3 linked regions of the Callithrix jacchus genome follow. The protein of the gene in region 2 purifies or fractionates together with the protein of the main gene of each other region. This does not show direct contact. Links are inferred from orthologs where the notes say so. Each region holds a gene or a part of one and is shown on either strand. Other genes may lie near its edges.

Region 1 (3,038 bases), on a different chromosome or scaffold from region 2:
GACTAGTGGTATTATCTGCCAAATGGGAAAGAGAAGAAGGTATCAAGCTAAATAAAACCCATTCAAACATTCCAGCTTCCTGAATTGCTAAAAAAAACCCCAAGTGAGGTGAAGAGTAGCAGGAGACAGTGAAAAAGATAACGTCTTAATTATATAGCTGTTGACACCTTGGTGGACATTTTATATCCCTGCTAGCCCACATGGAGTCTTTGTGTGACTTAGAATAGGGCATTCCTGTCCTGGCGTAGTGGGTCATGTCTATAATCCCAACACTTTGGGAGGCTAAGGAAGGAGGATCACTTGAACCCAGGAGTTCTAGACCAGCTTTGGCAACATAGCAAGACCCTGTCTCTACAAAAAAAAAAAATTAACTGGGCATGGTGGCACATGCCTGTAGTCTCAGTTAGGAGGCTGAGACAGGAGGATCACTTGAGCCCAGGTGTTCAAGGCTGCAGTGAGCCATGACTGTGTCACTGTACTCCAGCCTGGGCCACAGAGCAGGATGCTGTCTCAAAAGCAAAACAAAAGAATAAGGCATTCCTTCCTCCTAGCAGACACATCTCTGAGCCACAGCTGATGGCTCTGTGAACAAAACCCCTATGTGGCTACAAGGCTGGGTGTTCTATTCAATCTTAGCCGGTGACCCTGTTTGTGTTAGACTTTCCTGGATGTAAAGGAAAAACCCACCATTTTTGTTCCTTTTGGACATTTTTCACTTACATCTGGCCAGAGTTAAAGCCACTTACCTCCTGACCATCACCCCTGCCCAACAGTTCACTTTCCTCTTAATCAAGGAAACTGTCCAGCAGGTGTGAACCCATTCAGTTACAATGCCTTCCTTGTCTTTCACACGATGAAAGGTCTGTTTTTGAACCCTTCTCCCTGCCCCCCACCCCCCGACTGCCATTGCCTCTTCTCCGATAGCCATAACCTCTCTCCTACTAGTTCTTCTCTTAGCCCTTCATAAAAATAATAAAAGGAAACAAATAAAAATGTAAAACAACCACAACAAACATATTCCCTAATCCCCACTCTACCTCAATAAACAGAATGTAAGGGAGAAAACATCTCATTCTTCCTTTCAACCTCCTTTCTTTCCTCAGCCCTCCATAATGTGGCCTGTGTTGCCACCGCTAGATTGTCAGCAGTCCAAAAACTTCCCAAAATATTTGGCAAATTTTGTCAGTATTTCTTTATGGGACAGATCCTAGGTTTCATTACAATCTCAAGGGTGTCCTTGGCTAATCAAAAGTTAAGAACCTCTGTTCTAGGTATTTTAAAAGCTGTTCTTCAAATGTGTTAGACCAGGGGTTGGCCAACTATAGCCTGTGGGCCAAATCTGGCTCCTTGCCACCATTTGTAAATAAAGTTTTATTGGGACACAGCAATGTTCATTCATGTACGTATTGTCTATGGTTGCTTTTGTACTACGGTAACAGAGTTGAGTAGTTCCAAGAGAGACCTCAAAGCCAGCAATGCCTAACATTTACTATCGGTTCCTTTACAGGAACAAAAAGACAATCCTGTTGTTAATTAGAAAGCTGAGTTCTTAATCAAGTTGTTTTGGCCTCATGACTGCTTTTTCCAGACTGTACCTCGAGATTAGCATTATGGTCCTGCACAGTAGGACCCTGTAAGAGACAGCCCTCTTGATTTTATTGCAGAAGTGCTGTGGAGGGCACAGTCTTCTCTCTTTTACAGGATCTCCTTTGATGAGGGCCTGACACAGCTATTTCTTCCAGGTCTGAGCAGTAATACTGATGATAATGATGAAAGTTTAACACTTTTTATAGACCCTACTATGTGTCAGGGAGCGTTCTAAGCTTTCATACATATCAACTCATTTAATTTTCACAACAAAGCCATGAATTAAATACTGTTATTATCTCCATATTAAAAATAAATAAATCACAAAGAAATTACACAGAAATCACAAAGTTATTTTGCAGAAGTAACATGAGAAAACTTTCAGGAAGAATTATCAGAGAAATTTCAAGATTCCACTACATCCTTCTCACAAGAAAGTTCAAGGTTGATAGACATTGGGTCCTTCAAGGGTATCTTACCAAAGATATCTTGGTACTTAGAAGCTGGCTCTTCTTTAAAGTTCATATTTATGCTGTCTGATAGTGATGAACTCATCCCACCAACCTCCATATAATTGTAGGCTCCAATCTGAACACCGCTACTGTTGTGTATGGTACATTTTATAGATTCCTCTGAATAGAGAGAAACACACAGGTAAGTACTTCTAGATCAAAAGCAAGAGAAAAAATATAGCACTGCAAAAAAGCCTGGCTTTACTCCAAACATTGGGTTAACTATCCTATGCCATCCTTTAAACTTTCTTCTTTAAAATGTGACTAAACCACCTCGTACCCATTAGGATGTCTACAATTCAAAAAAAAAAAAAAAAAAGGGCCGGGCACGGTGGCTCAAGCCTGTAATCCCAGCACTTTGGGAGGCCAAGGTGGGTGGATCACGAGGTCAAGAGATCGAGACCATCCTGGTCAGCATGGTGGCGCGTGCCTGTAATCCCAGCTACTCAGGAGGCTGAGGCAGGAGAACTGCCTGAACCCGGGAGGCGGAGGTTGCGGTGAGCCGAGATTGCGCCATTGCACTCCAGCCTGGGTAACAAGAGTGAAATTCCGTCTCAAAAAAAAAAAAAAAAAAAAAAAAGAATTAACACACATAGACAAAGACGTGGAAGAATGGAGCCCTCACACACTGCTGGTGGGGATGTAAAATGGTGCAGGCCCTGCTATAAAGAGTATCATTGGCCAGGTGCGGTAGCTCACGCCTGTAATCCCAGAACTTTGGGAGGCCAAGGCAGGTGGATCACTTGAGGTCAGGAGTTTGAGACCAGCCTGGCCAACATGGTGAAACGCTGTCTCTAAAAAAAATTCGTCGGGCATGGTGGCGGGAGCCTGTAATCCCAGCTACTTGGGAGGCTGAGTCAGGAGAATCACTTGAACCCAGGAGGCGGAGGTTGCAATGAGCTGAGATCGTGCCACTGCACTCCAGCCTGGGAGACAGAG
Region 2 (4,019 bases):
CAACCTGGGTAGCAAGAGCGAAACTCCGTCTCAAAAGAAAGAAAAAAGAGCTCAATCTTACTGTACTGCCATAAAACAGCTAATGTGATTTATGTTCGCCCCCAAATTTTAAAAAGCAGTTGTGCATTTAAATGCATTTAAAAAGGCAAGACTGCCCAGGTGTGGTGGGCTCACGCCTGTAATCCAAACATTTTGAGAGACTGAGGCAGGTGAATTACTTGAGGTCAGGAGTTGGAGACCAGCCTGGCCAAATGGTGAATCACCATGTCTACTAAAAATACAAAAATGAGCCAGGTGTGGTGGTGCAGTCCTGTGGTCCCAGCTACTAAGGAGGCTGAGGTGGAAGCATTGCTTGAACCCGGGAGACAGAGGCTGCAGTAAACCAGGATCATACCACTGTGCACCAACCTGAGTGACAGTCTCAAAAAATAAACCTCAAAAAGGAGAAAGAGAAAGAAAGGAGAGAGAAAAGAAAGAGGAAGGAAGGCGGGAAGGAGGAAGGAAGGGAGGAAGAAAGGAAGAAGGGAGGGAGGGACAAAGGAAGGAAGGAAGAAGGGAGGGAGGGAAAAAGGAAGGAAGAAAGAAAGGAGGGAGGGAGGGACAGGTGCCCTGGGAAGGGGAGAGGATCAGGACGCGCCTGGAAAGCAGACTCTGAACCTCAAGATTCTGCTCACAGCCCAGCGCGCGACCCTGGGAGAAGTCAATTCCCCACGCGCCTCCCCCAGCTCAATCTCCCCAGTTTCGGTGCCTGTCCTGTCGCGCGCAGGACCCAAAAGCAAACCACAGCCCTGGGTGCCGCCGCCTGGGCAAAGGTTCGTTCCGTTTCTTCCCCTCCCCGCCCCACTTGGACGTGCTTGCAGAGGGTGGCGTCGACGAGGCTGTTATTTATTTATTTATTGTCACCAACCTGTGGTGGAATTTGAATACCGTCTCTGATTCGCCCCGCTCTGAATGACGCCTGCCGGGGCGGTGAAAGTGTAGCGGCGCCGCGCCACACAACTCATCCTCCACACGCAAGTCTGCACGCGCCCCGCGAACACCGTAGACTCCAGGGACATTTCCGCGACCACGAATACACGGGCGATACTGGATCTACTGTAAAGGCTGAAACCCGCTGGCCTGGGGGACGAAGAGCGTTTCCTACCGCCGTCGGACAGCTGGTACAGAGCGCCCAGACCCCCTCGGGGTCCCGGAAAGGGCGCGGCCCCGGGACCCAGGACAGCGTGGGGAGCCATGTCTGGGCTTCTCACCCCCAAGACCCTTGTGCTCGTCGTCGTCGTCTCGGTGCTGCTGTCGGTGAGTCCCCGCCGCGAGCCCTGGGAAGAGCGCGCCTGGCGCTAGGAGGGGGCCGGGGGGGGGGGGCACGGCGGGGGTGCCTGGCCTGGATCGCCTTCTGCCGGGCATGTCCGGGCAAGACGTACCCGTCGTCGTCGGAGTCTGGGGAAGAGCAGGGTCCCGGGCTGGGCAGGACTGACCCGGGCCAGGAGGGGTCAGAGCGCGCGCTTCGCTCGGGGTAAATCCCCGAATACAGTGGGGGAGGGCGGCAGGTGGGAATTCCCCTGGAAGCCGCGGGAAGCCACGGAGAGGTCGTCGGACTTAGATTCTCTTTCCTTACTTTCTTTTTCTCTCTCTTCCTTTCTTTCCCTCCCTTCCTTCCTGCCTTAATTTCTTTTTCTTTTGCGCCTTCGAATGAATTCCGAAAGATGCTCATTGCAGTTCGCTTTGAACAGACAAGTCTGCAGCCAGCAACTCTCCTGTGGTAGCTGCGGCCCCGCGATTCTGTTTCGCGCGCTGGAGCCGTCGCGGGCGCAGCTGGAGAGGCCCCTTCCCCTCCTTAGCGGCTACGCCCCCAAGCGCGCGGGGCCGCTCATCACACCCGGATCTGGCAGCCAGACCCGGGATCCCGTTTCCTTCGTGAGCTGGGGGTGATGCGTTTCACACGTGAAGCGGGTACTGGAGCCTGAAGATATTCAGGACGAAAACACGTGCGGTTCTTTCCAGATTGACCCGGCCTCCCGCCAGTACCACTCTTTGGGGTTCCTCGGGAAACGAGATTTAGAAAGAGGAAGTCTTCCTAAATCAGGCACTTGCTGCTTGATAGCAGTTGCATTTTGGTCTGGGAAGGGCCTTTCTATCCACCCCCAGGCAGGTCTCTGTGTTAATAGGGAAGGAAGATGGGCTCTGTAGGGAACAGCACGGTGTGCTCAACACTTGGAACACAGCCTGGGCCAGGAGCTGGGGCTGGGAGCGGTAGTGAATCATCACATTTTACAGCGGAGGAGAACGCAGCTCAGAGGGGGAAAGTGTGTGGGCCCAGGCCTAACAGGAGGAACTGGGAAAGTAGGGTCAGGGGAATGCTAGTGTTGACCCAGAATAATGTCACTGTGAAGCACTGGAGTTGTATTGGAATATTGTTACACACCTCATGTTGAGTTCACTGCTTCCACCTCACACCACTGTGTGTTCTTGTTCTCACCTGAGTGGAGGGAGGGTGGGAACCGTCCTGGTGAAGCGGGTGTACAGGGGCTCTGCCTCCACCTGCTGCTGTGGTTTCTGAGGGCCTCGGCTGCCCGGCATCTTGCTTCTCTGTGGGTGGTGGATCTTTGGTCTCTGGCAGCTTTTAGGATTTTCTTTTTTTTTTTTAACTTTTACAGGAAGTTTAATCAAATATACAAGGAACAGGAAATCCAAATATGACAAACTTTTCCAAAGAGTAGAAAATGAGTACATCTCTAAACACATTTTATGAAAACTAATAAAACCTCTATATCAACCAGGATATTTCTTAGCACTGATTTGCAGTGACTTAGTTTGTTTGCCCAAGGTTGTGTTGAATTTCTTCGATTTTTGGCTTTAGACTTGTATGTTCTTTCTACTTGTGAGATTTATCTGTAAAGAAAGCCACAGCTGGGTTGTATTAAAGTTCTTGGATTTGGGGTTTTAGAGTTTATGTTCTGCTTGGAGATTTTTTTGTTAAGAAAGCCACAACAGCTCACGCCTGTAATCCCAGCACTTTGGGAGGCCGAGGTGAGTGGATTGCATGAGGTTAGGAGTTCCAGACCAGCCTGAAATCCATCTATACTGAAAATACAAAATTAGCCTGGCGTGGTGTTGGGGACCTGTAATCCCAGCTACTTGGGAGGCTGCGGCAGGAGAATCACTTGAACACAGGAGGTGGAGATTGCAGTAAGCAGAGATGGCACCATTGCTCTCCAGCCTGGGAGACAACAGAGAAACTGGAAAGAAGGGAAGGGAAGGGAAGGGGAGGGGAGGAGAGAGGAAGGAAGGGAAGGGAAGGGAGAGTAAGCAAGCCACAACAGGGTTGGGTTGAATTTCTTGGATTTTTAATTTTACACTTTATGTTCTACTTGTGAGATTTTTCTGAAAAGAAAGCCACAACAGAGCTATGTTGAATTTCTTGGATTTGGGGTTTTAGAGTTTATGTTCTACTTGGAAGATTTTCAGCCATTATTTCTTCAAATACCCTGTCTCTTCCTGTTTTTCTTACATTTATGTTAGAATGTTAGATTTTTGTATCAGAGCTAACTTAGTATCTGTTCTTTTTCTTCCCCCATCATTTTTTATGTTTCACTTTGGATAGTTCCTAGTGAGGGCTCATTAATCTGCTTCTGCAGATGCTAACCTGCTGTTAATCTCTTCTACCATATATCAGAAATATATTTTTTAAGCTTTAGAGGTTCTCTTTTGGCCTTTTTAGTATCTTCCATCTGCTTCCTGATCATCTTTGTGTTTTTCTTTTTTGAGACAGGGTCACATGAGGTCAGGCCTCTGTCACCCAGGCTGGAGTGCTGTGACACAGTCAGAGCTCACTGTAGCCTCAATCTCTTGGGCTCAAGTGATCCTCCCACCTCAGCCTCCCAAGTAGCTGGGACCACAGGCACTTGCCACCACAGCTGGCTAATTTTTGTATTTTTAGTAGAGACTAGGTTTCACCATGTTGCCTAGCCCGGTCTCAAACTCCCAGGCTCAGGAATCCTCCCAACTTGTCCTCCCAAAGT
Region 3 (3,518 bases), on a different chromosome or scaffold from region 2:
CTTTCTGATTAGAGTGATTGAAGATGATTTTAAATTCAGAGAAATGTTTACAAGTCCAAGAATGTCATCACTCCATTAATGTTGATATGAATGTTTTTATTGTATTTTTACCTTGGCTGTTTGTGGTGTGTGTGTGTGTCTAAAATACATTTTCAATCACCCAAATGTATTTTAAAAATTAATGTCCACTCAGGCTGTCCTTTGCTTTCCCCCTTGCCTGATGAGCCCAAGGCCTTAAGGATAGTTTAAGGAGTAAAGTACTAATCATTAATTCATCCTGAGCTAGTGGCTTTAGAGATATTAATGAATATCTCACAAATACCACAAAAATTCAACCTGGCTATGTGGAGCAATATAAAATTACTGCATTTCTTGGTATGCTTTTCTCTTTGGCGATGGGACAACTTAATCTTGTGTTTCCAGAAGCATGCTAATTGCCCTGCTTGCAGAATCTCTCTGGGTTGAAAGATTATATTCAAGACAGTCTGTGAATTTTCATTTCAGCTCATTTATTTGAGACAGAGTCTCACTCTGTTGCCCAGGCTGGAGTGCAGTGGCATGATCTCAGCTCACTGCAACCTCTGCCTCCCGAGTCCAAGTCATTCTCCTGCCTCGACCTCCTGAGTATCTGGGACTACAGGTGCTTGCCACCATGCCCAGCTAATTTTCTTTTGTATTTTTAGTAGAGACAAGGTATCACCATTTTGGCCAGGCTGGTCTCGAACTCCTGACCTCAAGTGATCTGCCTGCCTTGGCCTCCCAAAGTGCTGGGATTACAGGTGTGAGCCACTGGGCCTGGCTTGATTTTTCATCTTAAAAAAGACCTTACATTGGCCAGGCACAGTGGCTCACACCTGTAATCCTAGCACTTTGGGAGGCTGAGGTGGGTGGACCACGAGGTCAAGAGATGGAGACCATCCTGACCAACATGGTGAAACCCCATCTCTAGTAAAAATACAAAAATTAGCCGGTATGGTGGTGTGCACCTGTAGTCCCAGCTACTTGGGGGGCTGAGGCAGGAGGAGGGCTTGAACTTGGAAGGCAGAGGTTGCAGTGAGCCGAGATTTTGCCACTGCACTCCAGCCTGGCGACAGAGCAACATTCTGTTTCAAAAAAAAAAAAGACCCCACCTCAAAAAAAAAAAGACCTTATGTTGTCCTAGGTGCTACATATTTCATTTCAATGTCTCATTCTAGATGTTTCTCTTTGTTGTTTGCAGGGGAGGAATTGTTTGGGGTAATGGCAATCTCGGACTCTCCAGGAGAACAGGATAGTGAATCACAGGTAGATGGAAACCTCCAAATCCTTTTTCTTTTTATATTACAGATTCTAGTTATCGAATTTGTTAGCTTTTTTTTTTTTTAAGCTGCCAGATAAACCAATAAGGGGCAGAAGCTTATTGAAAATTTTGAGAACTGTAGAAAAATTCACAAAAAAAGTTAAAAATATGATATAATTTTTATAATGTGACTCCTTCAGTTTTCTATGCATTTGAATTTTATTTTAAGATCCAAGATGAAGATACTGGCATAGTTGGAGGTTTGAGGGGGTGGGAAGGCTCCTTCCTACCAAATCTAGCAGCCATGCCAGCCTGGATGAGGGAGGGGTTTGTAGAAACAGTCTAGCAGGACTGGAAAAAGCAAAGCCTTTTCCTTTAGTTAACATTTCAAAAATGCTTCTCCTTTGTGATTAGGTGTAAGCAGCAAACTCTCATAATCTAGCCAACTCTATGTTTTCATCTCAGTGAACCAGCAGAAACGTCCTTTTCAGGCATAATAACTTCTCTTTATGTAACCAACAATCTACCAAACACATCCTGACTTATTAGCCCATTTACTCCTCCTCATGGCAGAAAGAAGAGGAAATCCTGAATATCTGAATTAGGCTTGAGAGAGATTATTCACTAGTGTGGGCTCCTGAGAAAATTACCAGACCTCTTTCATCTGAAAGTCAAGGATTAATCCAAGCAATGTAGTACTTTCTAAGCAGTATCGCACATTACAAGCATTGTCCCCAGTGAACAGCTTAAAACACTGTCTTAATATCTTAGTATCTTTTTTCTTTTTAAATGTTTTATTGAGAGAGGGGTCTTGCTACATTGCTAAGCCAGGTCTTGAACTCCTGGCCTCAAGCAATCCTCCTGCCTTGGCCTCCCAAAGTCTGGGATTATAGGTGCCAGCCACCGTGCCTGGCCAAATCTTAGTGTCTTAATATCTCAGTAAATATACTTAATATGCTTAATAAATACTTAGCACACTTAATAGCAAATAATAAATACTTAACATACTTGGTGCAAACTTAATCAAATATTTAATATCTTAGAGTTAACATACTAAGATATCAGGTTACTTGCCCAAAGTCATAAAGTGAAGTAGAACCAGGAACTGGGCTTCCTAGCCTGGAGCCCTTTTCTCTACCTCAGAGGGCTATGCAGACCTCCAACTAAACGCTGAGTATTTCAGCACTGAAACAGCCCTAGGAGAATGAGTAGGACGCAGGGCCATCCCTGGCAGATACTATCAGGTACTACAGTTTGGATATTATAACCTACAGTGTAGCCTGGACCTGCCGGAGCAGCCCATCTCTCCCCAGCAGCCACCATGGTCCTGAGAGCTTGGTTAAGCCATCAGCTTTAAAATCCTGGGAACACACTGTGCAATGCATGAATGGGAGACCCTCAGCTGTTAGCCAGGAAGCACAGATGAGTTCAGTAGACAGGCAAGAGAATCACAAGGTCATGGTGTGGGGGCAGCCCAAAGACACATTCCTTCAGTAACTCCTGATTGAGCTCTCACAAGTTAATACTCCATGGTGCCTGGCACAGAAGTTATTGACTTCAAGGAGTCTTCTGTATAGTATGGGAAGCAGAAATGAGAACACACAATAATACAATATGATGACAACAATATTAATATGTGTGCAAAGTGCTCAGGAGGCCCAGGTGTTGGGACACTGACTTTACAACTATGGGGCAGAAGTCTGAGGGGTACTACTGTGTGAAGGAAATAGGTAGGAACTAGTTCTTCAAGGAAACGACCCCAGGTTGCAGTGGAGCAATGGAAAGCAAACTTGCTTCTTCATCTGGTTTACTAGTAAGCTAGTAAGTACGCTGGCTTGTTAGTAAGCTAACCTCTTATTAGGGAGTTGTTTGTTTTCATCTGCAGTGTTTGACCCACAGAGTCAGCTCTTGAATGGGTTTTTGTTTTCCAGACTTCAGACAAAGTTTACCAAATGAAAAGTAAACCTCGGGGATATTGTCTGATCATCAACAATCATGACTTTCGCAAAGCACGGGAGGAAGTGCCCAAACTCCACAGCATTAAGGATAGGAATGGAACACACCTGGATGCAGGTATGGTAGAACCCAAAGAGAAAAGTGAACATTTTTTTATGACTATTTTTTTTTAAATCAAAAGGGAGAGAACAATAGCTATACCAAAAGGGCATGTTTCAAGAAAATGGATTTAAACATATTTCCCTGTGGAGGTGAAGAACATTTTTATATATTTGTTAGTTTC

The links. The genes of interacting proteins can lie anywhere in the genome.
Region 1: the proteins of TNFRSF10B (region 2) and RIPK1 purify together in Homo sapiens (affinity purification with western blotting, with the first as the bait; 3 studies listed by BioGRID). This does not show direct contact. The link is inferred for Callithrix jacchus from reciprocal best matches to the Homo sapiens genes TNFRSF10B and RIPK1.
Region 3: the proteins of TNFRSF10B (region 2) and CASP8 purify together in Homo sapiens (affinity purification with western blotting; 14 studies listed by BioGRID and IntAct, counting the BioPlex papers as one, with this or other methods). This does not show direct contact. The link is inferred for Callithrix jacchus from reciprocal best matches to the Homo sapiens genes TNFRSF10B and CASP8.

What each region holds. Positions count from the first base shown.
Region 1 is NC_133505.1:27,534,489-27,537,526, forward strand, and holds part of RIPK1 (receptor-interacting serine/threonine-protein kinase 1), read right to left. Parts: intron 2,220-3,038; coding exon 2,067-2,219; intron 16-2,066; coding exon 1-15. UniProt on the Homo sapiens protein: Serine-threonine kinase which is a key regulator of TNF-mediated apoptosis, necroptosis and inflammatory pathways.
Region 2 is NC_133514.1:18,450,020-18,454,038, forward strand, and holds the start of TNFRSF10B (tumor necrosis factor receptor superfamily member 10B), read left to right. Parts: upstream 1-1,233; coding exon 1,234-1,296; intron 1,297-4,019. UniProt on the Homo sapiens protein: Receptor for the cytotoxic ligand TNFSF10/TRAIL. The adapter molecule FADD recruits caspase-8 to the activated receptor.
Region 3 is NC_133507.1:122,368,235-122,371,752, forward strand, and holds part of CASP8 (caspase-8), read left to right. Parts: intron 1-1,219; coding exon 1,220-1,284; intron 1,285-3,210; coding exon 3,211-3,352; intron 3,353-3,518. UniProt on the Homo sapiens protein: Thiol protease that plays a key role in programmed cell death by acting as a molecular switch for apoptosis, necroptosis and pyroptosis, and is required to prevent tissue damage during embryonic development and adulthood.